4 linked regions of the Lonchura striata genome follow. The protein of the gene in region 1 purifies or fractionates together with the protein of each later gene. This does not show direct contact. Links are inferred from orthologs where the notes say so. Each region holds a gene or a part of one and is shown in the gene's direction. Other genes may lie near its edges.

The links.
Region 2: the proteins of LGALS1 (region 1) and FN1 purify together in Homo sapiens (affinity purification with mass spectrometry; 3 studies listed by BioGRID and IntAct, with this or other methods). This does not show direct contact. The link is inferred for Lonchura striata from reciprocal best matches to the Homo sapiens genes LGALS1 and FN1.
Region 3: the proteins of LGALS1 (region 1) and MET purify together in Homo sapiens (affinity purification with mass spectrometry; 3 studies listed by BioGRID and IntAct, with this or other methods). This does not show direct contact. The link is inferred for Lonchura striata from reciprocal best matches to the Homo sapiens genes LGALS1 and MET.
Region 4: the proteins of LGALS1 (region 1) and ITGA4 purify together in Homo sapiens (affinity purification with mass spectrometry; 3 studies listed by BioGRID and IntAct, with this or other methods). This does not show direct contact. The link is inferred for Lonchura striata from reciprocal best matches to the Homo sapiens genes LGALS1 and ITGA4.

Annotation. Positions count from the first base shown.
Region 1 is NC_134607.1:23,457,777-23,464,755, forward strand, and holds the start of LGALS1 (galectin-1), read left to right. Parts: upstream 1-3,929; 5' UTR 3,930-4,029; coding exon 4,030-4,038; intron 4,039-5,566; coding exon 5,567-5,646; intron 5,647-6,856; coding exon 6,857-6,979. UniProt on the Homo sapiens protein: Lectin that binds beta-galactoside and a wide array of complex carbohydrates. Plays a role in regulating apoptosis, cell proliferation and cell differentiation. Inhibits CD45 protein phosphatase activity and therefore the dephosphorylation of Lyn kinase.
Region 2 is NC_134610.1:35,768,569-35,775,632, reverse strand, and holds the start of FN1 (fibronectin), read left to right. Parts: upstream 1-4,050; 5' UTR 4,051-4,079; coding exon 4,080-4,236; intron 4,237-4,460; coding exon 4,461-4,589; intron 4,590-6,038; coding exon 6,039-6,176; intron 6,177-7,064. UniProt on the Homo sapiens protein: Fibronectins bind cell surfaces and various compounds including collagen, fibrin, heparin, DNA, and actin. Fibronectins are involved in cell adhesion, cell motility, opsonization, wound healing, and maintenance of cell shape.
Region 3 is NC_134607.1:34,614,235-34,621,957, reverse strand, and holds the start of MET (hepatocyte growth factor receptor), read left to right. Parts: upstream 1-4,706; 5' UTR 4,707-4,808; intron 4,809-4,986; exon of another isoform or gene 4,987-5,056; intron 5,057-5,391; exon of another isoform or gene 5,392-5,593; intron 5,594-7,723. UniProt on the Homo sapiens protein: Receptor tyrosine kinase that transduces signals from the extracellular matrix into the cytoplasm by binding to hepatocyte growth factor/HGF ligand. Regulates many physiological processes including proliferation, scattering, morphogenesis and survival.
Region 4 is NC_134610.1:24,034,372-24,041,790, forward strand, and holds the start of ITGA4 (integrin alpha-4), read left to right. Parts: upstream 1-4,417; 5' UTR 4,418-4,432; coding exon 4,433-4,617; intron 4,618-4,704; coding exon 4,705-4,826; intron 4,827-7,419. UniProt on the Homo sapiens protein: Integrins alpha-4/beta-1 (VLA-4) and alpha-4/beta-7 are receptors for fibronectin. They recognize one or more domains within the alternatively spliced CS-1 and CS-5 regions of fibronectin. They are also receptors for VCAM1.

The DNA of each region.
Region 1 (6,979 bases):
TTAGCACACCTAGTTCTTAGTTTAAAATACCACAGGCCACATGACACGAAGTGGCTGAACAGGTACAAAGGCTCTCTCCCTGTGGAAAGGTGTTGCAAATCACTGCAAGAGTAACTGCAGCCAAAACAGGCTTTTGCCAGATGAAGAGCACAGTGTGCAAGCAGGCTTTAGTCCCAGGCTTCTCAGCCAGGCCCTTTCCCATTCCTCCCCTGTCATCACTCAGGATGCCCCATCTATTGCTGCATCCCTCACAAGAAGATCTGGGGCAGATCTTCCCTCTTTTGCTTCAGACACTTGCCTGACTGGGCTTCTCCTTTGGCAGCTGCCAAACCACCTTGTTTAGAGCCACCCCTTGGCTCAGCCCGGTGTTCCAACTCAACCCCACAGCTTGCACTAGCTGGACTCCAGCCCTCAGACCGCAGGAGCAGTCTGGGTATGCTGAGGCCAGTGCCTATCAGCTAGACCAGAAGGCACGCTCTAAATCAAAGCTACTTGCAATGGTGAAACTCTCTTTTAGCAATCATGTTTCCCTCTGCAACCTAAAGTGTATTACAGCTTGGAGGTTGGGAGGTGTGAGGATGTCCATGAGGGAGGCTGTGATCTCAAGAAAACGTGCCATCTCAGTATAGAGAGATCACCCTGGGCTCTTTGAGTGCCAAGGAGAGTGCGGGAAGAAGGCTGAGGCCCTGAGAGAAGAGTCACAATGAGCACCCTGTGCAGCCCTAGGGACAGATAATGATGTCTGGTCCCTTGGATGGGAATGCTGGGTCACAGCCAGCACTGGGGGATGGGTTCAGGCCCCAAAGGCATTAAAAGCTCAAGGACTGTCTGAGATTACTCACAAAGGCAATTTGCACTTTCTAAGGAGAGTGAGCAGATTGTGCAAGGAAAGGCTAGCAAGAGATTAGCAAACTGCTCCCAGGAGGCAGGTGACTGAAGCACAGGCCACACTGGAGATGCCCATTATCAGGACCTGAGTGAGGTGCCTAACCTAGCATAGTACCTTCCTGATGGGGTCTTTGCTGTGATGCCTGGGCTTGGATATCTGTGTTGTCTGTGAATTTGGTCAGTCCCTGTCATGGCAGCTGGCTCTTCTACACTCCCTTTTCCGGGCCCTGTCCTGTCCAGGACACAACCCCACTTTGCAGAAAGCAAGTGCAGATGCAAACATCACCTGCCTCACCTTCATAACCAGAGGTGAGGCACTGCTGAAGTCATATCCCACAGTCATTACTCCTCTCTCCAAACTCATGACTCCCTCTGGCCAAGTGTTTGGCATGGACAAGAGCAATGTTTGAAGCGACAGCATCATAATCACTCACTCCCTTTGGACTGAGCAAAGAAGACCTTTGCTCCCCAAGTTACAATGCAGATCAGTGACTCTCCCTCTAATGCAAAGCTAGGATTTAAAATGTAATGTAGGAGAGCTTTTCTGGTGAGGAGAGGCAGAAATGGTGGAGAAGAAGAGCCCTGTCCCAGTGTAGAGTTCCCACACAGCCCACGACACCAAAGTCTGTTGTGATCTGACCTCATCTTCCTCATCTGCATCCTTTGCAGATTACATGGGCTGCTAAACTGCTGGCACATCCCCTGGCTGGCCCACTGCACACTGATAAAAAAGGAGGTGACAGGTGGTGAAGATTGCCAGCTCTAAAGAGTCTGGCTCTACTCTTCTCAATCTACAGTGACTCTTCCTACACCACATTACTCCTGAAAATCACATGCAAGCACCTCTGTGTCTCCAGTGTGGTGGAGTAGGTGTCAGTACACTTAGGGACACCATCCCTGCCTGGTGTGACACTAGGGTGAGCAGGGACCTTTCCTCCCCTCACTTTAGCCATCCCTTGTAAGGATGCTGATGCTGGAGCTTTAGAGCTTGTCATCTCATCATCATGTCTCCAACAGGAATGCAGACGTGACATTGTTTGGATGGTGGTGGCCCATGGCCTGCAGGCGATGGGACACCCCATGGCCCCCTTGCCTGTGGTATTAGCCTGTTCTGCTAATGCCATTTAATTCAAGGTTTCATGAAAGTCAGTAGAGACATCTGGACTTCTATCAGACAAATACAGGCTGCCCGAGCTAGACTCAAGCCTGAAACCTGAATTTCCTTGATGTGAATAGCTCTTTAAGCACCTGCTTTTGAATGGCAGCCCCTTCTTCATTGTCTCTTAGCCATTAGCTGGTCTCTAATCTCCACAGCAGCATTTGGAGGAAAGTCCCTAGACAGACATAACTCAAGGACCTGGAAGCTGCTAAGGCTTGGTCACAGTTCCCAGCTGCCAGAAATGCTGCAGAAAACACAGAACTTACCCCATAGCTTTTAAAAGGCCCCCTCTACCTCCATCTCCAAGAGAGCAAATATTTACACATTTCCCTTCCCCATCCAACAGCCTCCACCAGTCCCGCCCCCCAGACCATGGCTCCAGCAGCAGCTCAAGTACTTGGAGAGATGCCTGGGGTTTAGTCTCACAAAACTTTGGATTTGAAAGGAATTGATTTAATAACACACACATCCCAAGTAGAAGGATGCAGATTCTATTTACTTTTTCTCCTCCTCATATGGAGTACTTCTTGTCCTCCACCACATGATCCCTTGATCAGGCTCAAGACTGAACCCCAAGGTAAGTGACCAGAAGGAGAAAGGGGGAGCAGGCATGTCAGAGCAGAGAAGACCACTTTGGCCTTTATTTTGCCCTCTTGTGTCACGGAGTGATCAGCAACCTGGCCAAAGTCTGGAGCCTGTTTCTGCCCTCTCCAACAAGCAGGCAAGAGGGTCTCCCTGCTACCTCTGCTGGCATTGATGGCACCAGCTGGAAATACTCAGTAGTGCCATCCTCAGGGGTCATACTGGAGGGGGTAACAGGGCTGGAGACTCTCACATTCTCAGCAGAGAGGGAACTGATGGGCCTCAGAGTCATGGAAGAAAAAATTGTTTCAGAGAGTTTCAGTTCTGGGCCTCTTAAGGAAATCACAGAGCGTCTTGTGATTTAGAGACAAATATGCAAGACAAGGAGAGCTCTAAGCCCCAGGCTTGGCTCACTGCCTGAATTTTTCCCTTCTCTTTCAGTGTAATTAAAGTTGAGCCATGTAGTAATTGGGTAACTTTTTCCATAGGAATCCTTTCACCCAGTGAATCATACTTGCCACAAAGAGAACACAGAGGCAGATAAAAGACATATAGATCCCATGGCTTATTGTGATAGAAGCATTTTGCCCCCTTCCCCTTCTTCCTCAGGCCCCTAGCTGTATTCAGGGTAGAAGCAAGAGCCAGGCATGGTGCTTTCCCAGATAATTTCTTTCCAGCTTTCCAAGGCAGCTTCCTGCTGGCTTACTCTGCCCTGCAGCCAAGATGAAGTGTACAGTTTTGAAGGTGCCTATGGGTTCTGTAGAAAAAGGACTGTTTTCTCTCCTTTGGTTTCCATACCTACACAAGTGTGTGTTAGCAGCTGGGCAGTCTCTGGGGACAGAAAGGATTCATAGTGCAGCCAGGTGACCCTGGATGCAGCTCCAGTCCTCTGTTACTGGGGTTTCACCTGGACTACAAAGAGTTTCTTAGGCAATACGTGTGATCAGTGACATTTCTTCTACTCCTGATTTAACTGGAGCTGAAGAGCCCCGCCCTCATTACAGACCCTTCCCGCCAAGTCTTGATCCGTATGACCATTTTCCATGTGGGATAAAAGCCTTGGATAATAAAGCATTCATTGTAAAACTACTTTCCATTGGATTCACGGCCACATAAAGCTGGATCTCCTCCTGGAGTGGCCCACAGCCTGCTTGGAAGGGTTGTGTTCAGCATCCTGGAGAGGAGGCTGGGCGAGTGTGGGAGGAGGCAGCTCTGTCTAATAGACCCTCCCTCCTCCCAAAACCAACTCCTGCTGCCCTTCTCATTGGTGCATGGGGTGGAGAAGGGCCGGGACCACTCAGCTCTCCATCTATTTAAAGGCAAGGGTGGGGCTCTAGGAGCTACTCGCCTGGGACTCTTGCACTTCGGTGGAGAGGAGCGCTACCCTGCAGAGCAGCACCATGTCTTGCGTGAGTAGAGAAAGGGATGGGGCAGCTTAGCTGGAGGTGGGGCTGTGTTGGCTGGGTGTGAGGGTGCTTGTGCTAGCCTGCACATCAGCCCCAGTGTCAGAGGGTCTGTTAGAGTTGGGTGCCTGCTACTGGTTAGGACCCATCCCTGCTGCATCCACTACAGAGGGCTGGCTGCTGTTTTGTGTTCTGGCAGCAGTGGTTCTTTTTTCCTGTAGGATCCCTTTGGGGCAGTGTGTGTGGGGATCCTCGCTGGGTTGAGTGCTAAACTGGGGTAACCTGTTTTACTGCAGCTCTACCCTGGGGAAGCTGCTGCAGTAGCATTTATTGCTGTCTGAGCATCTTCTCTGGGCAGCCTTGCTGCTTGCTTTCTGCTGAGGTTTTCATGAGTCATTGAATTGTTAATCTTCTCTTTTTTGGAAGGAATGTGCCTTACAGAAGTAAGGAATGTGAATGTCAAGGACTATGTTCAAATATCTTAAGAAGTTAGAGAGGTTATCTTAAGAGCAGGTATCAAGAGCATGGGGCCAGACTCTTTACAGAGTTGCCCAGCAACAGGAGAAGGGGCATGAGGCACAAACTGAAATGAAGGGAGTTATAGTTGAATACAAGGAAAAACTTCCTCATTGTGAGGGTAACAGCGCACTGGAACAGACTGCCCAGAGAGATTGTGGGGTTTGCTGCTCAGGAGGTATTCAAAAGCCACCTGGACATGGCACTGCAACCTGCTCTACATGAACCTACTTTAGTAGGGGGGTTGGACTTGATCTCCAAGGTCCCTTCCAGTCCTAACTATTCTGTGACTGCTAGGGAGATGCATATGTCAGAAGAGTGATTGCATTTCTTTGATTTGCCTTTCATTAGGCTGAGAGCAGAGATGATCCCAAGAGCAAGCTTATTTTTTTAAGATGGAATAAGAAAAGATTTTCAGTATTCTTGAGGTCTTGGCTCTGCTGTGATGAAAAATGAGTACATATGGGCTTTCCAGGATGCTTTGGTCCTCCTAGAGAGAAGGTGGGGGGAAAGTATCTCTGTGAAGCAGAAGAATGTTCTTGCACATACTGAGCCTACATTAAACAAAAGCTCAAGCCATTGGGAGATGGAAAGCAAGGTGTCTGAGTCCTTGGACCTAGTCAAGGCTTGAAGTTCAAACATGAGCTAGTCTCCATCCCTGCCATCCATCCCAGACAGATATGTGTGGGATGACACAAGACCCACAAGGCACATGGGTGTGTTTGGGATGGGGTGGGTGTGATTGGAATGTACTTACCCTTCACTGCTGTGAAATACAGATACGTTGATGAGAGCAGCAGGAGGAAGATTAGGAAATCGAACTCCAATCAAATGTACCATGTGATTGGGAGAACTTCTCTGGGATGTCCTTGCTACAATGCCCTAGGGCAAGGGAGCTTCCCTGTTTCTCCATGGTCCAAAGCAAAGCCTGTCTTGAAAGGCAGCAGGGAAAGCAGCCAAGTCAGACCAAGTGAGCCAGCAGGTACTGAGCTAATGTCTCTGCTTCCATGTTCCCCAGGGACCAGTATGCACCAACTTGGGTCTCAAGCCTGGCCAGCGCCTCACTGTCAAGGGGAAAATTGCACCAAATGCCAAGAGGTGAGTTGTGCTGTGCTGCCCAGGCACAGCCAGGGCACTGCACTGAGGGTCTGCAAAAGGTGGTGGCAAAAGGACTCTGTCTCTTGGGTGGAAGAGGAGAAGGGGTTAACACCAGCAGTGCTTCCAGTGAGTCATCACCTAATGCACATTGCAGGCACTGTGCTGCCAAGGGGCTAAGCTAAAGCAGATGTGAAGTTCCAACTGCACACGCTGGCAGTGACCACATCCTCTCTAGTGCAGGGTGAAGGAAATGGAAGCTGTGTCTATACTGAGATTTGGTTTGAGACATCTGCCCCACCACATCCTCTCCCCTGCACGAAGATGGCCAGGAGTAGGGATATTTATAATGCCCCAGTAGATTTTCCCCTCAAATGGTGGTTAGGAAAGAAGGAAGAAAGGTGGTGAGCAGGCAGGTGGGCTGAAGTGGAAGTGTACCCCTAAATGGGCAGGGGCCAGGTGGCTGGGTTTCCCAGCAAAGCCTCTGCAGCAGCCCCCAGCCCTTGTGCAGGTCTGTGGCTGGGGATGGCACTTTGCAGGTAAGGTGGAGCCTGTAGCTGCTGTACCAGAACTAGTGGTGTTCCAGGAAACATGTCCCAGCTCTTCCCAGTGCCTTTGAAGTTTGATACTGTCTGAGTGAAGCCTCCCAGGGTTTTTCTTGCCAAATATGCCTCTTCTCATCTGGGTGAGAGGCCTGCAGGCAAGGTGGACACTAGGCTAGGAAACTTCCTCCCACTGCCACTGCAGATACTTTGGGATAGCTAATGACATGGTATTTATTTCAGCAGCCTGCAGGATGGAGAGAAGGCAGTGGCTGTCAGGCAGGATGCAGCACTAGCTAACTGTTCAGGACTGAATGGAAATCTATGGAAAGCAACTGACTCTTGGGAATTGGTTTAGATGTATGATAACACTGTTCAGGGCACTGTGTACTGAACCCCTCTCTTGTTAAAAGTTTGAGGAACTGGTATCTCTTCCAGGGATGGCACTCTGGAGCCTATCACCCCAGAAAAGAGCCCCTTACTGCCACAGTACCATCTTTTTAAGGAAGCTGTGTAGTTTAGCTAAAGGTTTCTCTTAGGTTACCCTCAGCTGGGCTTGAAGAAACAGACCAAGGGATGCTCATGGTAATGAGAAACATGTTACTATAGTATTTACTTTTTTTTTTTTTTTTAGCTGTATTGATGTCTGTGCTTTTTTTTTTTCTCTGCAGCTTTGTGTTGAATCTGGGCAAGGATGCTACCCTCCTTGGACTTCACTTCAATCCCCGTTTTGATGCCCATGGCGATGTGAACACCATCGTATGCAACTCAAAGAAGGTGGAAGAGTGGGGTGC
Region 2 (7,064 bases), on another chromosome or scaffold:
TGAAGAACAGGTTTTCAGGTCTTTGAAGATGGTGCTGCCCATCTGGAAGCTTCACCTGGGAGTGAGGGACTTGTCCCATGCCACTTGCCTGCCAATTCCCACTGTTGTGTGTCTAATGAGAGTTCTCATTTTTGTTGATGTTTTGGCAACAGGAAGCATGTCAGGATCTCAGTTTCTGTTCTTAAATCACTAATATGTGATATAAACACCTCATTGAAAGTCAGGAAAACAAACAAACAACTCGAAAGCCCCAGGAGAACTCCTCTACCCGGGAAAGAATGGAAATCTCTTCCCCCTCGCCCTCCAAAGCTGCTCCCCTGATTTTGCAGGGAGTGGCTCACGAGGGTTAAATGTCTGGGGCTGACAGTACTGCAGACTCTAATGCAAAACAAGAGCTGTGGCTGCAAACTTCACTTCACTGGCAAACTACAACAATTTGGGTAGACCAAACTAAATCTCCTAATCCACGGACAGCTAGAGAAAGGAAATGCATTTTTCCGTGTTGATGATATTGAACAGTTTGTTGGGAAGGACTAGGGAGGAGGGAGAAGAGAAGGAATTTCCATTGATAATGCCAGAGATGTAGTCAATGTCCTGTCATGGAGTGTTTATAGCCCATAAAATTCATTCCTGTGCTGTAGCCGGCATGGAGTTACATCTCCCTGAAGTTGCAGCTAACGGTCAGAAGGAATGGATTTCATTTCAAGAGCGATGTTCCGGATTCCTGGACAAGACACTCAGCAGTGAATGAAGCACTGTGCAGCACAGCCTCAGCAGCCTTGAAGTGAATTTTGCTGTGACCTAACAAAAACCACAGACTTGAAATTGTGATGATTCAGAAATTTTCAGCTCGCAGCAGGGGTTCTTGCAAAATATTTAGGAACTGCAGGAAGCATTTAATGGTCTCCCTATGTCAAGGAGAGGAATCCTGACCTTTTTTCTTCATGGTTCTTGTTCCTTATAAGCAATAATTTTAGAAGGATATAATTAAGCCCAAGTGGCCTTTTTTTCTAAGGTTGCTTATAGAATAACAAGTGACTTGGATTGATCCTGAATGTACTGATTCATCCTCTCTTTGCTGTTGGAATGTGCTGAAGAATGGCTACAGGGACAGACCATGCTCCCAGTCACACGTGTGGCTCCCCACAAGTGTGTGCAGTGAAGGAAATCAAGTGGAGAGGTTTATCTGCAGAGCAATACGATGGAGCAACAAAAGTCAGGAGAACCGTATAAGGGTATGTGCCTTTCCTAGCCAAGAGCCAAAAAGGTAGGATTTCAGTAGGAAAAAAATTTCAAATAGACCAAGAACATGAATCAGAATACCGATGGCTAAAGCACAGGTTTGGGACATTCCTAATCCTTATTTGGATGCAGAACCCATGAACGGGTGGTTTATAAATTCAAACTGATCTCATCTGAAGGAAGACTTCAGGTGAATCTTCCTTTCATTTCCTGTTAGCTTGAGGGACAAACTGACAGAGGGACGGAAAAGGAGATACATCCCTTTCCTGAAATAAATAAGAGACCTCTCACAAAATTTAACAGCATGCAATATCATAATTACTACATGCTTGTATTGTAATTACTGTCAGAGATTCCTTTAAAAAAGAAACCAGGCTGTTCCAAATCACATTGAGAGACTATAATCACATTGTAAGACTATTTCTGCTGGCTTGCAAATGATGGCTATGCAAGAAACTAATTTGAACACCACTGGAAATTATAATTTTGTTTTGTGTGCTTCCAGTAATGTTTTCTCAAACAAGGATCTTACATTTGTCCCTGTATTTGTGTAATTAATTCTGCGGAAAGCACTAGCACAGTCACACGCTTGCTGACACTGTCTTTTCCCATTCAAATTTCAGACAATACAATTTTCATTTTGTGTAAATACTTATACTGCATTTGAATACCTAAGTGCAGTGCAAAATTACATGATCTGGATTTAAAGTAGACAGAAATTAGGTCAATGTCAATAATTTAATCTTCATGGGAACTACACCTGATACATGAACCTTTTATATACCACTTGCAAATAATTGCTAAAAGCAGATATTTATTCCTCATATTTGCATATTCCACTACATCCTGTTCCTTGGGTACTTAGCTCTTACATTTAGCAGATTTCCCTGAGCAAATTTTATATATCATAACCCTGCTGTCCTTGAAGACTTCTCATAACCCTTTCCTTTACCATGCCAGCTGAGCTTAATTAGCAGCTTGTATCAGCAGCAGAATCTGTTCACACATTCATTGGCTCTTTATTGAGTAACTGGAAAAATGACCGCAAATTGCTTCCTCATTGCATATATGGATCAAAACTCCTCTTTCCCACTGACTTCCACTTAGTAATTCTTCCTTTGGAGCAAGCTAGGTAAAGTACATCCAATGCTCAAACAGCAGCATTTTCTGACAATGTGCTTTTCACCTGGCTTTTATCAGAGACTTCCAGACATAAGGTGGAATGTGAGATGGAATTTGAGGATGACACATCATATCTTAGGTCTTGGAAGAGCAGCAACAGTTTCTGAAAGCAGGTTCTCATTTCAAGAAACTGGATATTTGCTGGTTTATGATGCTATGTCCTGCTTCAAAAGCTAATACTCTCCCTTGCTGTGGCCACCTTAGTTCTGTGACTATTATGAGGGATAATGTGTGTCTGGTGACTCAAAAAAAAATAGATTAAAAAAAAAGGCAGTGCAGTGGATCTAAAAATAAAAATTAGGAAAGGTGGGAGTTAGCTCACCACAGCTCACCTCAATTTACAGGTCAGGTTTCAATTTCCAGTAAGTTTTCAGCAGAGTAGGTTGTGTAAATGTATCTGTGGACACTCCTCATACAAGGGAAAAGAAATTTCCTTGAAAATAGATACCTGACATCACAAGTCCGTATTTTCCTGGAACAGAGCACGTGCTGGATCAGTACTCTGCCTGCTGACATAGCCTTCATCCCAGGAGTGATATTACTGCTTGCACGTCAGTAAAGAGAACACAATGGGCTTGCAGGAAGTGGAACCAGAGCGTGCTGCTCGGCATGCTGAAGAAGTCTTATGGAAAGCTGTGGATATTCACCTTAAAGATGTCTGGAAACAATGTACGCTACTTCACTCTCAGGTTTGTCTGAAGAGTTGCTTTTATACATCAGGAACTGCAGCAGACTTTTTAGGTTAACAATCCCTTTGCCAAGACAAAATATGTGTGAGAAGCATGAAACACAACCTTCCTGTATGGTCTGAACTGGGGTGCTGGTCCAGGCACCGTACCAGAATGGGGCATGCACTGTGCTTTGTTCACTGGCAGCCTGAGAGCCACACTTACTGTTCACACTCTCTACTCTCTGCTTTGCAGTATTCCTTCAAACTAGGGAAAAGGAACACCTCCAGAGCAGCAGAGATGCCCATGGGAAGAAGAGAGATGGAAGAGGTTGACAAAATTTGTGTACAGCGAGGTTACATTAGGGCATCACGTTGAAGAACCCTTCTACTTAATAAAGGTTCAACACCTAGTATTTCTTTCACCTTTTTTTTTTTTCTCAGAGTTGATTTTAGACAGCAAGAAATAAAGTCAGACAAAGAAGGTGCTAAATTTATTTTGAATGGAATGCAATGACACCGATTTTCCAAGTGAGGTGTGAAAGCTTTTAACCTTGAGCTCTCAGCACTAGATAAAACATAACTCAGGGTTGCTATTTCCCACCCGTATGTTACACTTCACCTTCTCCCCTGTGCAGAACACTACTCCTCCTCAACGGAGCAGTATCCGCTTACAGGCAGCGCTGCTCCACGGGAAAAAAAAGAAAAGTTTGCCTCTCCCCTCAAAAAAAGCCATTTTGTTCAGCCAGATGTTTTACAAAATGGCACGGCCGCTGTGCCTGAGGGGGGCCGGGCCTCCCACCCCGGCGGGGCTCGGCGGGGCGGTGGCGGCCCCCGCCCGGCCCCCGGCGGCGCCGAGGCCAATGGGCGCTGGGGCGGCGGCGGCCGCCTCCTCCCGCCCAGCCCGCCCTATATAGCGCCCGGCAGCGGCGCCGTGCCGTCCGTCGGGCTGTCCGTGCCGAGCCGTGCCGAGCCCAGCCGTGCCAGGATGCCGGGCCGCACCGTGTGGCGGCTGGCGCTGCTCGCCCTCTGCCTGGGGGCCGCGGCGGCGGGGGGACAGCGCCGCGGAGCCGGCGGCAAGAGCCGGCGGCAGGCGCAGACCCAAACCACCTCGCTGCCGCAGGGCACCGCCGCGCAGGGAAAGCGTGAGTACCGCCCGCGGGCAGGGCAGGGCGCGGGGCTTGGCACGGCGCGCCGGTGGCCCCGGGGCGCTTTGTCTGACCCCCGCGCTCGCCCGCAGCCGCCCCTCGGCTCGGCGGACCCGCACACGTGTGCGCCCCGCGCCCCGTCCCTCCCGGCTGCTGCCCTCGGTAACGCCGAACTTTGCTTTCTTTCCCCCTCTGTAACCCCACTCCTCCTCTTCCCCCAGAGACCTGCTATGACAATGGACGGTACTATCAGATAAACCAGCAGTGGGAGCGCACTTACCTGGGAAACACTCTGGTCTGTACCTGCTACGGTGGGAGCCGAGGGTTCAACTGCGAGAGCAAGCCCGAACGTAAGTTGGTGGCCCCTTTTGTCTGCGTCGAGACCCCAGCGCTTTTGGTGCCGAGTAAGCCAAGCCTTGTACGAGTTAGGGCTGGCAGCCCGGGTTTTCCACTGAAGTTTGGTACTTAGGGTCAGTAATGGGATCTACACTCAATTACACTGAAGATCTGGCTTGGGATTTTAAGAAATGCTTTTCATTAGCGATGGGCCTGCCACCAGAACCCTGAGCCAAACATCGCTCATCTCTCTGGAGGATTGGATCTAAACATTAATTTTGGAGCCAACCTCTTCTTTATAATGAACTGAACTGACTCCTGGACTCGCATGGGGAAGTTCAAATCTGGAGTCACTTTGCAGCTCTGGCTCTGCTCTGATTGCTTCACCCCAACTTTTCATAGCTGTGCAGTGTCGTCAGCTTGTTTAAAAATATTTCAACTTACAACTTTCCACAGCGTCCCGGCCATGCTGTGAGCTTTCTATAATTGAGTGTAAAATGAGATTGTTTAGTCTGTGCAGAAAAAGTTTAGGGAACAGAAAGAAGTTTAAATGCAAGGTCTGCTGGAGGATGTGTCTCTCCAGGATTCGGTGTAGTTCAGTTTATCAGATGCAATCTATCTCTATTGGTCTGAAGCCACTGGTTTGCCATAATTCCTTTATGTTGCTCTGGAGATAGAAGAGATGAAAATCTGGTTCCTGGCTGACGGTGTTCATGTAAGACAGATGTGAGCATCTCAGCCATCTGTTCTGTGAGGTTTGTGTGCTGCCTGGCTCACGACTGGAGTACTCTAAGGAGTCCCCTTACCCCATAAAAGAGGGTTCAATGTACTTTCCCTTCCCCTGCAGAGATTCCCAAGTTTTACAATTTTGAAATCCAACAGGAAGGTTTCCTTATGACACAATGAACTTTATCTGCCCAGCAGTGAAGAAAATTGTTCTGCTTCACATCTTGAGTCTGGTGGCAGCACTGATGTTCTGGATTCACTCACCTATGCATGAGTATGAGCAATACACAAGCAGTGAAATTTGCTGTTGACTTTGGTGGGACTGCTGCAGAATTTGGGATTAATCTACTCCATTTTTGCTAAGTCAGAGCAAGGATGATTAGCATGACAAAGCACACAGTTTCCAGGGGTTGTTTGCTCCCTCCTGTCTTCCCTACTGTTGGCTTCAAACAGCTGGGATTGATGCTTTCAGGCATGCCTGCCATGTGCAACTTGTGGTTCCCTGAGGGAGGGAAGAAGAGGTTATTGAGCATCATGGGGCCCTTGAGGGGGCAAATTTCACCCAACTTCTTCTCTGCGGTTTTGTCCCATGAGGAAAGAGGAGGCTGATAGGCATTTTTCCCCAGGAAAAAAGGAGTATCTGTGTGAGGAGGCAAGGAATGTGTTTCCGTTGATTGTACGTGTTACTGGTGTGGTTGCATGAAGCTGATTATTTAAATTTTTTTTCTCCCTCATAGCTGAAGAGACCTGCTTTGACAAATACACTGGATCCACTTACCGGGTCGGGGAGACCTATGAGCGCCCCAAGGACTCCATGATCTGGGACTGTACTTGCATTGGAGCTGGACGTGGGAGAATCAGCTGCACCATTGCCAGTATGTAACTAAGAGCCTCTTCCTAGAGCTATTGTTCCTTAGTGTCATATTTTCCACAGCAATTTACACACTATTCCCAGTGCCTGTTAGCTACAGTTGCATGGGGTTTAGTCCAAAGCTCACTAAAGCTTTGAAATTAAAAGTCCCTGCCCCATGTACATATATTTGCACAACCAAACTCCTCTTTTGTTTAAGAGGTCAAGTGCTATGTGAGGAAACATAGGCCAAAAATTACTGTTAGTGTCCAGCCATACAGGCTAGTAAGTTGCTATGTACAAGAGTGTGTGGTACATCTTCACAGATGCAAGTATAAAAGTAGTTTTTTGACTGGAGATAGTCTGCTCTGGAGCTGATGGGTCAAAATAACACTGTCAGCATTAGTGGGACTACTCAGAATAAATGATAATAAGTGAATGCCACCTGATAGCCAATCCTTCATCCTCCAAAAACGTCATTGAACTTGTCTCAGGGGGAACTGGGATTTGATATCCAGACAGCAGCTTAACATGTTCTGTAACTCCTTTTTCACTAGCCTGACCCATACTTTCCTCTTGCTCTTCCCTCTCTTCCCTTGGTCCTTTCTCCCCAGCTCCTGTTTCATGTCTCTGTCTGGAAATCCTTTCCTTATTGAGTCACTGAATTGTTCACAATTTCCCCTTAGTTCATAATTGGACTTTCTGTGAGCACAGAGGAAGATTGCTGTGTGTCAGGATTTCTAGACTGAGATTTCAAAGTCTCTGAGGTACCTTTTGAGAAAAGTCTTGCTGTTAAAAGTATCTAGTTTCTTGCTTAAGACACACATGCAGACCCTAGTAGTGTTGCCACAGAGGACTCTGAAACCAGCCATCATTGTAGCATGGGAAAAAAACAATGCATTGAATCTAACAA
Region 3 (7,723 bases), about 11 Mb from region 1:
CATGCCTGAAATGATTTCTTGGGTTTGTATGTTCAGAGGTACTCATTCAGGGGTTTAATGCATTTCAAAATCACTAGGAAAGAAGGCAAGGTTCAGGTGGGGAGCAGTGAGAATCACACCATCTCTTCCTCTGCCTTCTGGAGGCTGAGGTGCTCCCTCCAGTTAAGCTGATGTAATGTTGTGCTGCCATGAGCCCACCCTCCTCCTGGATTTCTGACCTTGTCCTTTTGCAGCACTAGCACTCACATTACTGCATAGCAGATGGATTTGAAGAGCTAATCTATCTGTAAACTAATCTATGTTCTTTTGACTGATTAATTTTTGCTGGATTCCCGAACTTCATGTACCAGTTTCCCATGTGATCACCAAGGCTTTGGGACTGGCACAAAAAGGACACAGAGCCATGGCAATCCAGACTTCAGATGCAATAGCCCCATAAACATTTTCCTCCATTTTCAAGAATTATACTTGAAGCATTCACCATTTGGATTTTAGAATGGCCCAGTTGTGGTGTTTTTTTACAAGCAGAAAGACAAACAAGGAGGAAAATTTTATCAAGTTAAACAGAAAAACTTCCCTTTGCTCAAAAGTCACCTATAATCCACAGTGCAATATGTGGAAGCACCCTCGGTTATGATCTGTGTTTCTATACAAATGGAGAACTGTCTAGGGTAGCTTAGTGGTTAGAGATTAGAACTTCTAACTGCAGGCTTCTATTCCTGGCTTTGCAAGGGACTTTTGCAACCACCAGTCACAGGCTGAAATTTCTTCCAGTGACATTGTTGACCCTCTTACAAACAAACAGAAAGTACTTATTTAGTTATCAGAAGCTATGGGTTTAGTTAATAAATGGCTAGACAATAAATGCCATAAAATGCAGTGATGATCAAATCTTTGGAATCTAGAGATCTAAGTAGTAATTGTGATATTTAGCTCAGTTTCCAGAGAGGCAAACAACACCATGGGCATTTTTTCTCCAAAGCCCAACCCCCAGTCAACACTGTGTCCCTTCCCACTGTGTGCTTTTTGAGCCCAGGAAAGACAGTGAAAGACAGATTGTGTCAGAGTGACTTGAAGGGACAAAGTAGTCACAGGAAAATGTGCCTCAGGCACAGCCCCTTCCCTGAGCTGCCCCTGGCATTTGCAGCCAGGCTGCCTTCCAGTGAATAAGGGTCTACAGGAAATACAGCTACACATTACCCCAGCAGTCTGTCACACTATAATTTTCCCCTTGGATCACTGGTATGTCAGGCAGTTGAGCTGGGTGGGTTCACCTAAGGCTCTTATTTTGTTTATCAACCTCCAGAGATACTCAGACTCAGCTATTCTGAGTCCCTGTTGCAGGGTTCTGCAACAGGAAGGTACCTGATATCCACCGCTGTGAAGCTCAGCTCTAGAGATCTTTGTCTTGTGTGTTCTTAAGCATTAAATTAATTCCTTTCCGCTGTCTTGCTCCTTCTGAAATCATTTACTCATGAGTAAGCTCCACTAAGTCAGAAGTCTCTGGAGCTTCACAATGACATTTGCATTTTATATTTGCTCCCAAAGGTGTGAATGACTGCAGCAGAGGACAAAGAGTAAATCCTCTGATGCTACCATATAGCTGTGGTGCCATGTAGTAGAGTGTGGTTCTGCAGCAATGCACAGTAGATTTATGTTTGATTCTGCACTTCTAGAAAATGTGGTTAGATCCAGATTTGCAGAGGTATTTAAATATATATTTTTTCTTACTGAAATTAGGTATAAATTGGATACATAATTCTATAAACGTCATTTTGCTACTTGTAGTTATGATAAATAATTTCTCAGGTTCTGAACAGAAGTCACAATGAAACCCATAAAACTGAAGTGGACACATTAGTGTGTTGAGATGCACTACTGCCAATGTACAGAAATCATCCTGTGTTTTCATTCCTCATGTTTACACTTGAAAGTTTAAGTTCAACATAGCCTTGCAATTCATTTTCTAACTCTATTTCTGTATTCTTGGAAATGTGATAGGGTTTGCTCACCAGCTTCCTATCTCAAAACACATCAGGGCTGGAAAGGATGTGCCAATATACTCCCCAGTGTGTTCCAGTTCTCTTACTGAGCAGATCACCCTCATAGACTCTCCTTCACACTTTTGAATTGTTTTTTCCAGTGTCGTCAGCTTTTTAAAATGTGTCACGCCATCTTATGCCAGACTGAAGAGGACCAGCTCCTTTTGGACAGGGAAGAGAGATTAGGAAAACCTATAAAGAGACCAGGATGATGACTAAGAAAGTCAGTTTCTTTTTCACCCATAACTGCACCTTAAAGCTACTTCAAGCCTCTGAGAAGTTGTTCATGGTGTACACATGGTGCAAGCATGATGAAAGGAGTATCAGATGATTATCAAAGCCTCAGTGCAGTGTAACTGTCTCATAAAACTAACCTAAAATAACATGGCATCAGCATGGTCAAAATGGAAAGGAAACATCTGTTTCTCCTTTTTATGTTAGTGACAATCCATTTGTTAGTTTTAGAATAGCACAGACTGTCCCACTGATAACAGCCTGGGCGCTGGCTGCTCAGCCCAGGCAGGTGCACAGTGAACTCAGGAGCAGGCTAACAACAGATAATATGAGGGGCTGTCCTTAGAATGAGCTCTGGATTTAAATATTTTTCTTTATCACTTTATTTCAAAACCCTTAAGGAAGATTCTTCCAAGTCTGGTGTGGCTGTACTGGTGCACCGTACAGTAGTAGTGCACAGCACAGTCAGCAGTGACTGACTGATCACTAATTGAAGCCCAGCAAGCAGCACAGTCTAATTGTAGCCTTGCTTTTCCCTGGGCGGGGGTGGGGGGCATCCACACTGTCTTATTTTTCCTAACTATTGCTGAATATTAATTGAAATAAAGGTTATTGAAGTAAATTGACAGATTTCCAGACACTTGAAAGAAATGAGATTACATCAGTCATGAAGTTTAACAGAGACAAGTGCCGAATTCAGCACCTGGAATGGGACAACACTGGATGTATGGATAGACTGGGGAACAAGAAGTTGGAGACTATCACTGTGGAAAGGGAGCCAGGATTCCTGGTTGATGGCAAACTGAATTTGAGTCAGCAGTGCCCTGGCAGCCAAAAAGACTAACCATGTCCTGGAGGGCATCAGGCATCACTAACTGGCAAGGGAGGGGATTATCCTGCTCTGCTCTGCACTGGGGCAGCCTCACCTTGAGTGCTGGGGGCAGTTTTGGGCACCACAATATAAGGAAAATATAAAGCTCCTAGAGAGCATCCAAAGGAGGGCAATGAAGATGGTGAAGGGCCTTGAGGAGAAGCCATATGAGGAGTGGCTGAGGTCACTTTGTCTGAAGAAGAGACTGAAGGGAGACCTCATTGCAGTTACAACTTCCTCTGAAGGGGAAGCTGGGGGGCAGGCTGCCCTCAATCATGCATCTGTTTTTGCACAGAACTGGCTTATAGCTAGGTTTGATGTCTTTATCACTAGTGCTGGCAAGTCCAAAGGAAAGAGGAGACAGATAAATTGTGAAAGACTAGCAGAAGACTAGCAGAAAGGTGGCTAACTGCTTTTTTAAAACATTTTGTTCTGTTGTACAGCTTTGTACACATCCTGGTGACATCCAAGGCCTAAAACAAATACATACAATATTTAATTTTCCTTACAGAATGTTTTGATGTAAGATCTGACATTTTTCCCATGGTTAATCATGAAACTGGGCAGTGCTTCTTACAGTTCCTTGTACTTCACTCATGAAAAACGTTCATCGGTTTAAATGGTATGATTAAGGGCAGCAGAGTTGGGGCCAAAAAAGGAAGCAAGCAAAGGGAAAATAGATGTCTCCAGTAACTTCTATTGGAATATGGAGCCTTTCACTTAAAATCTGGTTTAAATCAGTAGCTGCTGAAACTCGTTACCAGAAAAAAAGATGGATCTTTGCTGCATGCCCCAGTGTTGAGACTTGCAGTCTCTCGGCAGCTCCACAAGTGTACATTGCACAGGCAGTATTGCTGAGTGACTCAGTTTCTCAGCACCTCTGAAAGATGAAGTCATCATCTGCTTTGCAAACCTTGTGAGGGAAAAACCCCAACCTGTGCAGTTTACTACCCTGTAGGAAGCACATATGGGGGAAGACAGCTACTTGATAGTCTATATAAACTGAGGTCATTTGTTTGAATTACATGTGGATAGACATTTAAAGCACAGTCAGCACTGACACCATGATAGTGCAATATGGGCTAAATTTGTTCACTACTACACAGCCTAGGGGGGGTCTCAGGACAAACCTAGGGGTGCCCATATCTTGACCTCTCAGGGTTAGGCTTTAGCATCAGTCAGGCACTGACACCTGATGATGGGTGCCCTGCGGCTGGGAGTGAGGAGGGAGGCTGTGCCTGCACACCACTGGTACTCACTTGGCCTGAAAACGCCGAGGTGCAGAAGGTCCACCAAGGGTCCCCTCCTGGCTTTCCCCATCTGGGGAGCGACATCCATCCCTCCTACCCCTGGGCTGGGGGCCTGGCCGGGAGGGACGAGGGGCAGAAAGGAGGGGAGGGGGAGCGAGAGAAGGAGGCCCCCCTCCCTCCTTCCCCCCACCGCGCACCCGGGCTCCTGCGATGTGGTGAGTCACAGGCAGGTCAGGACCGCGCCGGAGGGGCGGAGGGAGCGCGGGGACCGGCTGATTTACCGCTGGGAGCCGCCACCAGCGCGGCGGAGGCGCCTGAGGGAAGGGCGCGGAGAGCCGCCCCGCAGCCCAGGTGCCGTGCGGGAGGAGGGACGCCCGTGCCCGCCGGGGCGCGCAGCCCCTGCCGCCCCAGGTAGGGACAGCAGCGCGGGGCTGGGGCTGGGGCTGGGCCGGGGGCAGCCTGAGCCCGCGGGGCGGAGGGAGCGGCGGAGCGGCGCGGGGCCGCGGAGGTGCGCCGGGCTGCGCCCCGCTCCGCCCCGCCCGAGCCGGGCCGGGCCGGGCCGGGACCGCGGAGCCAGCCCAGCCCAGCCCAGCCCAGCCTGCCGGGGCGCAGCGCTCGCCCCTCCGGCGGCGTGCCGGCGCGCAGCCCGCTCCGCTCCGGTAAGGACCGGCACCCGTGGGGGGACGCGGGGAGCGAGATGAGCCGGGGAAGGAGGAGGGCGGGCAGCGGCTCGGTGCTGGCCGTGCCCCGCCCGGGAACTTCGCGGGAGCGCGGCAGCCGCCGCTGCTCTGCCGGGGCGGGCCGGGCGCGGCGGGGCCAGGTGACAGCGGTGCGGGGCTGCCGGCCGGCCCCGGCCCCGGCCGGGCTCCGCAGGGCGCCGGCGCCCGCGTACCCGCGAAGCCGAGACGGGGTAGGGCAGGGCGGGCAGCGCTCCCCGGGATGCTGCCGGCAGCGCCCCTTGGCCGCAGCCCGAGCCGCTGCCCCTCCCGCCCCTTCCCGCTCTGCGGGCGCGGCAGGAGCGCGCCGCGGGGCAGTGTCCGGCAGTGCAGCCTGGAAGTTCCAACTTGGAGACGGTGGCTCCGCGTTTGTGGTGGCCGGTCCGACCGCCTTCCGCGAGGCGCAGGGTGAGCCTGCGGGATTCCCCAAGTTGGGGATGTGTACTTTATGGTTTCGCTGCGTTCACAGTTTTCCTTACGGTATGGCCTTTTCTGTTGTTATTGTTAGGGTTTTTGTTGGGTTTTTTTTTGTTTTTTTGGTTTTTTTTGGTGGTTTTTTTTTTTTGGTTTTTTTTTTTTTTTAATTCAATTTTTAAAAGCAGAATTTGCTTCGAACGGTAAACAAATCGCAAAGAGCTCATATAATGGCATTCCACCACTGTTTCTATGTCAGCATTAAATTATGTGGTCTTAGGCTTTATAAAACTGAATGCACTCCTTAGAAATTGGAAGTTTTGCACATACATCAATAGGCATTAATAATCTAATACCAGTGTTGTTTAACAACCTGTGCGTTTGTAACCTGTAGGAGGTTTATTCAAGCGGCAGTGCATGCTTTTCTCGAAGAACCTATGCCCTGTGTGATAGTTCATTTGCTTTCATCCCACAGGTGCTTTTTTCATTGTCCAGCAGCAAAAAGAGGATGGTGTCTCTTTTTTGTTGTCTTTTTATTTTAGATCTGAGAGGTTTGGATTCATAATCAAGCAAGGGTCTCACATGTTTCTCAGAGAGCTGGTTAAATGTTTACAGATCATACACTGTGAGAGCAAAAAGCTAGCCTTTGGCAGGAGCTGCATGTTGAAAACAAAGTAACTTGCAGAATGACTGTATCGCTTGTTCTTTGTGCCATAATCCTTCTTCAGCACTGTATGATTCTTTTTCTGTCTTCTAATACAAACTGAATCATTTGGAAACTGGGATATTTTGTAAAACATTCATCTCATTATTTGGAGAAGAGAGAGTCAACTTCTGTGCCTTTTTGGTGGAGAGGGAATGAATTGTCTTTATTTTCCTCTAAGGATTTTCTCCTTTTTTCTCTTTTTTTTTTCCCCCCAATGTTTTCTTCTTTTTTTTCCCCTCTTTTTTCTTATTCTTTTTCTTTTTTTCTTTCAACTTTTTTTTTTTTTTTTTTTTTTTTTTTTTTTTTTTTTTTTTTTTTTCCTTCAGAGGTTAACCACTGCATAGCAGTTCTTTATTGGTAAGCTAAAGTGCACATATTGTGGCTGGAGAGGGGTTCATAGATGTGTTATTTGCTCAAGTGTAGATGACAGTGCAGCCATAGATGGATGGGAGCTCACTGAGTCAGAGCAAGGCTGCCAGAATGCCAAAATTCAGTAGAGGTTCAATGAAAAGCTCATGAAAGCAAAACTAAGTAGCAAGTATTGTCTTCCCAGTACTGCCTGTCCCATCCTGATTCTCCTGCTCTAATGGTTTTCTAGTACCTCAGCTGATGACCTGTAACCTCTTCTTGCTTGTCCAATGCAATCAAACCCGCCTACTCTTATTCTTCTATGATCTGCAAATATCTGCTCTGTATTTTTCAACTCAGAGGAGAGATTCAAAGTCTGCTGCCTCCCAAATCTGGCTTCCAGAGCTCGAGAGAATAACTGGCACAGCTGGCTGCAGTGTAAGAGCAGCAGTCTTGCCTTCACAGCCACAAAGGGAACCTGATGCCGGCAGCATGCTGTGCTGGGGTAGCCAGAGAGGCAGAGCTGCAGCGGTGGGAGTCACAGAGCACTGGGTGATCTGCTTTGTGCCATGATTGCTTTGTGGTGGGCATGTGTCTAGACTTTATTTGCTTCAGGCAGAAAGCAAGGAGAGGTCCTCCATCTCCATCTGTGTTTGTGAAATATTTAGTGTAAGGGAAATCCTGCTTGGGCTCTTTCAGCACTATACATCATTTCTTGAACAAGAAAGGGATAGGGTAGTTGAACAGCATTCTCTGAAACTACAGAAACACAAAATTCAGTAGTGGGTTACAAGGATCTGTTTGGTGCAAAGCAGAAGGAATGCATGCAGTGCATGACACTTCAAACACACCTTGCTAAGATTTTGGGTGGCAACACCACCTTTGTGGTGGGTTCATGTGAAAACCTTATGTCCAGGATTTCTACCTTCCTGTTGCTACCTTACTGTCTGTCCTTTGAGCTGGTGGCACAACTTCATGTTTCATTAGGCTGTTACCCTCAGATGAACCATCAACCTGTGCATCTTGTCTGCTGTGGCCATAGTTAGTGATTTTGCTTCCTATGCAAAGGTTGTGTTTGGTAATTAAACCTGTGCAATGCACCACTGGTGGTCATGCCACATTGCCTCAAGCAGCATGCCATC
Region 4 (7,419 bases), on another chromosome or scaffold:
TAAATTTACACAAAGTTTTTTCAGATTCTGTTCCATTCCCATTGCATCCAATCTCATCAGCAGACATGTGGAATCTATGGAAGTACAGAAATATGAAAAAAAAAAATAGAAACACAATATCAATAAGTGGTCAGAATGTTTTCAGTGTAGAGATGAATGTGTTGAAATGTTGATTCATTATGGAAAATTAATTATGGAAAAGTGTTGATTTAAATAAATTATTATTTTTTATGTTGAAATTCTCTGAACATACATATTTCCTTTTTATCTCAAAGAAATTAGATCTAACTAAAATATTTGTTTTTAAAAGTTATAATAATGAAAAAAATGCTACAACTCTGCTGAACCAGACTTTTACAAAGAAAGACACAGAAATGGTGCATGAAAACACTCTTTGTTTGAATTTCAGATGGGAAAGTTTCAAAAGTTCAGCAATTCCTTTGGGATGGGAAAAAAGGTTACTGCCCAATTCCTCTCAGAAACAGATATTTTGTTGTGTCTGATCTTGCAACTCAAGAATCTTTGACAAAATTTTAAAAAATAAAAAAGGATATGCAATGCATCAATCACACATATACATATAATGATTAATTTCCAGTCCTACCTATCTGTAAATCAAAATGCAGTTATTAGTTAAGCTGTTATTAACAATAATTATCTTTTGTTTGCTTCTTCTAGTCAGGTTGTCATAGTCATTGTCTGTATGACACTATTTTATGTTTAAATTCTGGAAAGCTCTTTTGGCAGATCAGTCTTTACTTCAGCAGCACAATTTTTCAAGGGAAGAAAAAACTTTTTAAAAATATTTCCTAAAAGGACATTATATGATTGTAAATATATGATAAGCTGATTAAATTAAAAGATTGTTTCTCTTTAACTGATTCTAAATGAAATTCAGATCTCTTAAGAGAATATAAACAAAATGATACAATTAAGACCCTTGCTAACATTTGCTTCTTTTTGGTGCATCAGACATCTGTGCTTAATTGTATTTGTCAGTGGACAATGCAACCTCTTCATGAGAACTCACATGTATCTTACAGCAGAGGGAAGATGAAGTTTCTTGAAGACAGCCTTAGAGGTAAGAGTGTATTTGCCTTCTATAATTTCTCAGATGACAGCATATGAATAGTAGCTTCTGTGGCCAACTGCCATTGTTGGGGGGTGGAGGAGGAGAAGCTTACATAAAAAGAAGATGTAGTTATGGTCTGACCAAAACCCTAAATTTTCCATGTTTCAGTAAATCAGAATGGTTTAGAAACTTCAAATTTGAAATAGCATTATTTAAGTACTTAGACAATTTAAAAATTAAACTTTCATGTCTTTCTAATTAGGAACAGGATCCCAACCACTGCTTGTTTTTATTTCGAATTCAGAGTAGATGTGGAGACACTCTTCCATAAGCAGCAGTAGGCTTATGTGGCACACAGGAGACCAGGGACAGCCACAGCTGAAAGCAGCCATATCCATGAAGATTTTTATCAACATGTGCTTTCATGTATTTATAACACAGCAAAAGCTTTTATGTGATCAGTTACCCAACACCAGCCCATACACTGGACTTAATTTAATACAAATGCCTTCCAGCTTAGGGAATCAAAAAGTATATATTCCAAAGAAGAAAGGTGACAAACATTCAGTATGAATGAATGTCAGAATCAGTATGTTCTTTATTCAGTAATTTTCTTACCCTTCTTCTCACTAGCACTGGTGAAAAGAAAGGAAAGAAATTGCTTCGTTTTAAGTCAGATGTGTAGGTTTTAACTTCGTAGACTTGCTACTTGTAGAAAGCTAAGGCTGTTACCTGAAAAAGTTCCTAAAGCTGCAGCATCAGGTTAAACCATCCTATAAATACAACCAATACAACTGGCCAGCTACAAATGTGATGTAGGTTTGGGGGCTTTTGTCTGAGTTATTTTTAACCCAGATCACTTCTCTGATGTGTTTCACTGCTCAGACACTGAACAGTATCAGCATAACAGGGTCACTGTATGATTCAAGAACAAGCAGCAAGAGATGAGGACAGTCAGATGAAATGCACACATCTGCTGTAAAAAATGTTGCCAAACTGCAGACTAATATAATTAACAAATCATCCCACTGGCTCCTCTGAAATTGCCTTAGATGGTGAACCAAATTCAAGCACAAGAGGCAAGTCACTGGGATATTTTTCTTCTAGTGTTATTAACCCACAAAGGACTGTGAGAGATGTGCTGTTGAGAATGAATAGCAGCAAGATGTTTTGGGGAGAACTTTTTTTATTATTTCAGGATAACTTAGATATAAACTGATACATAACTGATATTTGATTTGTAAATACAGGTACTTGGCTTCCAGTGTTGGTTCCACCTTTTCTGCAAATTCTCTAAATCTCTAATAAAACTCAAATTCTCTCTCCATTACTCCATATTGTCAGTTGCATTTATTCTGATCTCTTTCTAGTACCTGAATTGTACTGAAACCTGCAAAAATTTCTCAAAATATGGATTTCTGACTCTCCAGTAATTTGTATTCCACTGATTTCATGGATGCCTGATGGATCACTATCACATGCACTCTAGCAGAGTCTAGGAGACAACACACACATTTCCTCCTGACAGGTGATATAGAGCTCTCAATTTCATATCATAGCTGATAAACAGTTATGTATGCATCAATAATTGAATCCCACCACTTTACAATCTACCTTTTCCTGTCAGCTAGGAACACAGCCACTATCTCAACATGGTTCCAACATCACGGTGGTACAACCATGTTACAATTTTTCACCAACTAAACCACAATTTAGCATTTCAGTTTTGATTCATGCTTGTTTTGCTGCTTTGAAAATGAGGGTGAAAACTTCTTGAGTAGTAGAAATGCAGATTCACAGCTGCTGTTGATTGTTTTAACTCCTTTGATGTAAGTAATTGGAAGGAAGATGAATAGCAGCTGCGGAGCTGTTTGACTCCTTTGCACGAAACAGCCACCGCTCCACATCAGTCTCATCCGAAGAAGCCCTCTGATGGCTCTAGAGATGAGGAATCAAAAAAAGATACACTGATGACTGGCTGTCAGATCTTCCACTGTGCTGATCTCATTCCAGAAACTACACATCTGCATGTTTCACTCTGCATTGCCTCAGTGCCCCACTCTGGTAGTTGCTCAGCATTTTGCAGAAACGTGAAACTTTCCAAGGGGGGTATTTTCCCAAGAGTTTAAAATGCCATGTTCTAAATTTACATTAGGGAAATCTCACTGTTATTTCTAATGTGTATAATATTCAATAGTTGCAATCATACTGGATTTTAGTCCAGATTCAGTAAGTAATCTTTGTAAATAAATTTTTTTTTAGAAGTTCTTCTGTTCTTGTTTCTCAGATTCAAAATACTGTTATACATAGCTTATCCATATACAGGGATTATTTTAGCAACGGGGAAGACCTGGTATTCAAAGGATTTCAGTAAGGCAAGGTTTGCAGATAGAAATAAAAGCCTTGATTTCAGGATGAGCACAACTCAGTATGAGCTAAATCAAGAGTCAGCAACTGATTGCTGAAAACACGCACAGAAATGCTCCTCACTAAGATCAAGGGAGCCCTTACAAATACCAGATCTCTTGCACAATGCTCAGTTTCCTTTGTTCCTTTGCTGTCTGGAGGCATGGCCGCTAACTTTGTCAGCAACTGAAGAACTGAATAGGAATGTGCAAAAGTTACTCTAAAATGTACAAGAAGCGATGGGGGATTGTTTTGACTACATGACACGTGAAAAGGAAGGCGCCATCAGCAGTCTTGTGCAACAAGTCTTGGGTAGGCCAGTGCCCTGCTTGTGCGGCACTGGTTTCAGGAACCAAATACCCACACCGGGGGACAGCAGGCAAGGCTCCCTCAGCACAGCGACTGCGTGGAAGGCTTTCAACACAGGGGTACTGGGTTTCTTCTTAAATCTAAACAGAAAACTCAAATCTTCTCCACGCTTCCTTTCTCAGAACACGGTTCTGCTCTTGAGCCGCCCGCCCGCTGCTCGGCGGGAGATTTTAGGATAAGTTTCCAGTAACTCCTTCCCCCTTTGCGGGCTGGGCCGGGCAAGGGTGTCGAGGCGAAGAGATGGGGACGCGGCCCTCTCTGCTCCGCCGGTGCCTGGATAGCCGCGTCCCACGGGGGCAGTGCCCGGGGACGCGGGGGCCGTGTCCCTTCCGCAGCGTCCCCGTGGGCGCGGACGGGGCGGAGAGAAACCCGACCCCCGCCGCCTGGGCAGGGAGAGGGGCTGCGACCGCGCGGGAGGAGGCGGCGGCGGGGCCGTGCGACTGCCCCGTCCGCGGGGACACCCCCAGCCCGCGCTGCGGAGAGGGCGCCCCAGGGCGGGGCAGGGCGGGGCGGGGCGCGGCGCTGCCCTCTCGCCGAGCGGAGAGGGGGGAAGCCGGCGTCGGAGCGCTGCCGGCCGGCGGAGCCATGCGGAGCTGCGGGAGGGCGCGGGGCGCCGCGGGCTGGGCCGCCCCGCTGCTCCTGCTGTGGCAGTGCCTGCCGACGGCGCGGCCCTACAACCTGGACACGCAGCACGCGCTGCTCTTCCGCGGGAGCAACGGGACCTTCTTCGGGTACTCTGTTCTCCTGCACCGCCACGGCGAGGAGCGATGGTGAGTCCCCGGCCCGGCCGCCCCCGCGGGGGCCCGTCGCGCCTGGTCCTGGCCACGGCTCCTCACGCTGCCGTCTCTGCCCCGCAGGCTGGTGGCGGGCGCGCCCCGGGCCAGCTGGCCCGCCAACGAGTCGGTGCTCAGCCCCGGGGACGTATTCCGGTGCCGGATCGGGGGGAACTCCAGCGGAGGGTGCGAGCAGCTCCAGCTGGGTGAGTCGGCGGCGGGACGTGGGCGGCGGCCGGGGCCGGACGGTCCGTGCCCTCCGCCGTGCGCGCACCGCGGCTCCGCTCCGCTGCCGTGCGGGGCGTGCTGGGCCCTTCCGGCTTAAACTGCGGAGCGCTCTGCTTCTCGCCCAAGGGCCAGATCAGCGCTATCGCCCAAGGACTGCAGCGGCGGCATCAAGAGAGATAACAGGCACCAAAACTTAATTTGGAGAAGTTAGGTGTGACAGATACCGTTCCTGCAGCCGTTTCGCACCTTTCAGCCTCCGAGTCAAAAGCCCCATGAAAGTTTCGGTCTGAGCCTGCTCTGCGGAGAAGAGCTGGTGTAGCTTTCAGGGCAGCGGGTGATTGTAATAAGCGCAGGGATGGGAGGGTGGAAGTATGTGCCTAAGTCCTGTTTTCTCCTGCAAAGCATTCTCTTTGTAGAAGTCACCCTGAAGTAACTTTGAACCACAGTTGTCTTGCTGATAGGTTCTCCCTGCTTGCAGATTTATTGGAGTTTCAGGTGAACAGTTATTCATTTAACTTCACTTCTCTCTATCTCCACAGTCTCTATACTTAGGAGATGTAACTGGCTGCACTTACTCAACTTTCAAGCGTTTGATACTTGTTAAAAAGGGGAAGGCTTTGCACTGGGTTGCCATGAACACGTGTGAATTACTTTGGTTTCTCTTCCTGTCCCACTTGCATACAGTGCTGTTCACGCTATTTGTGTGCTATGAGAGAATCCTCCTCCACTTGTACTCAGTCACCCTCCGACCAAGAGTATCCCATCCGTTATGAGCACATCGCCCAGTAAGAAGCAGCGCGGGAAAAAGGCTATCAAAATATTTGAAAGCAGTAGCACACCATGAACTGGTGGCTGTCAGGGTGGAGCTCAGCGTTCTGTAACCAAAAAAATACTAAACCAATTATTTTTCTACATGTCTGTGCATAATACTTAGAACTGACAGGTTCTAGCCTTTCTTTTTTTTTTTTTTTTTGGCTACAAATCAATATAAGAGTTTCATTTTGTAACTGGTCTACAAAACCTAGGGTACTTCAGTGGTGTTTTTTATGTAGTCCTATAAGAAATAGACAAGCAGTTGTTGCTAGAAAGAATGGAAATTAAATTTATACCAGGCCAAGTAGTTTTTCGGAGTTTTGTTGATTAATTTCATTCCGGTACTATAGCCGTTTAAAAGTTAAACATAACAAAGAGATTTTTTTTTTTCTGACTGCCTGTTTATTATGAGGAGGCTTGCAAAAAGTCTAAGAGGTCAACTAAAATGGTGAAGTAACATATGCTAAAAGTCAATAAAAATAGTCCTTTACTGTGTGGGGGAAATAAAGGAAGGGTTGAAAGTTTCAGGTTCTTTGAAACCTACAAACATCTGCAGTGGCTCTCAGTTTGCTCATTTAGCCAATGGAGAAACAAAATCTCTAAAGAAATAATATGATGGGATTTTCTTCAATAGTGTAAGGGATTCTAATTGAAATGAGGCAACAGGTATATGAAAAAGTTTATGTGGTTCCAAAGGCTTAGCTTAACATGGCCTCTATTCCCAGAATTAAAGGCTGCAGGTTGCACAACATACTTTTTAAAACAACAGTTATACCACATGATATTTTTGCAAACTAGGTTTCCATTACTGCTAGATGACATCTTTGCATCACTAAGGTTTGCCTGTAGTATTTCTGAAGTTAAATAGAAGCTGAAAAGAAGTGCTGTATTGTAATACAGGTCATTGAGGTCAATGAAGAAGCCAAAGGCAGCTGTAGTCCATGGGATGTGAATGAAGTGGTATAGTATCTGAGGTCAGAGAAATATGCAGGGGAACTTGGAATTACAAAGCTGAACTTAATTAACTCTCATCTAACTCATTCAAGTTTGGGTTCTGATCTCATAGAATAGGGAATTTCCTTAGAAAAATGTGTGGCAATATATTGCACTGCTGAACAGGCACAATGAGAAATAAGTGTTGCTATCTTGCTCTTAAATAGTTGAACTCGCATTTTGTTCTGGTAAAAACATCTTTGAGGTGGTAACTTTCTAATTATAAGTCATGAAAAAGTATAGGTGATAACAGGCAATAGATGTGGCTTTCCAAATGTGGGGGCACTGTAAAAAATGGGTGTGAATTACTTAGAGATACAAATATGTTAAAATACTTTGTCGCTCCTTTTCACTAAAGTAGCCTTGAAACTGGCATAACTAATTAATGAAGGATTCATGAACAATTAGGAAGCCTCTGATCACACAAAACTGCTGTTGTCTTTTTATGTGTCACAAGTTCCTATCTGCTTCTTCAGTAGTAAAAGAGCTGCTGGGAGCAGTCTTATGCTGCAGTCATCACAGCATCTGGGATAACTCATCCAGACATACTTTAAAGAATGTTATTGTTCTTCAAGATGTTGCAGCCCCTGGGCCGGTTTAAGAACTGAAAAAAGTAATGAGATATGCTAGCAAGTCTCTGTTTTCCTAGCCCCTCATTGGCACTTTTAAATCTCTCTCTGATAGATGAACAGAAGAGTTTTCAGTCTCTTTTTGAGTACTAGTACTTCTGTTTAAGGTGTCAAGTGTTCTAGACTGCAGATTAAT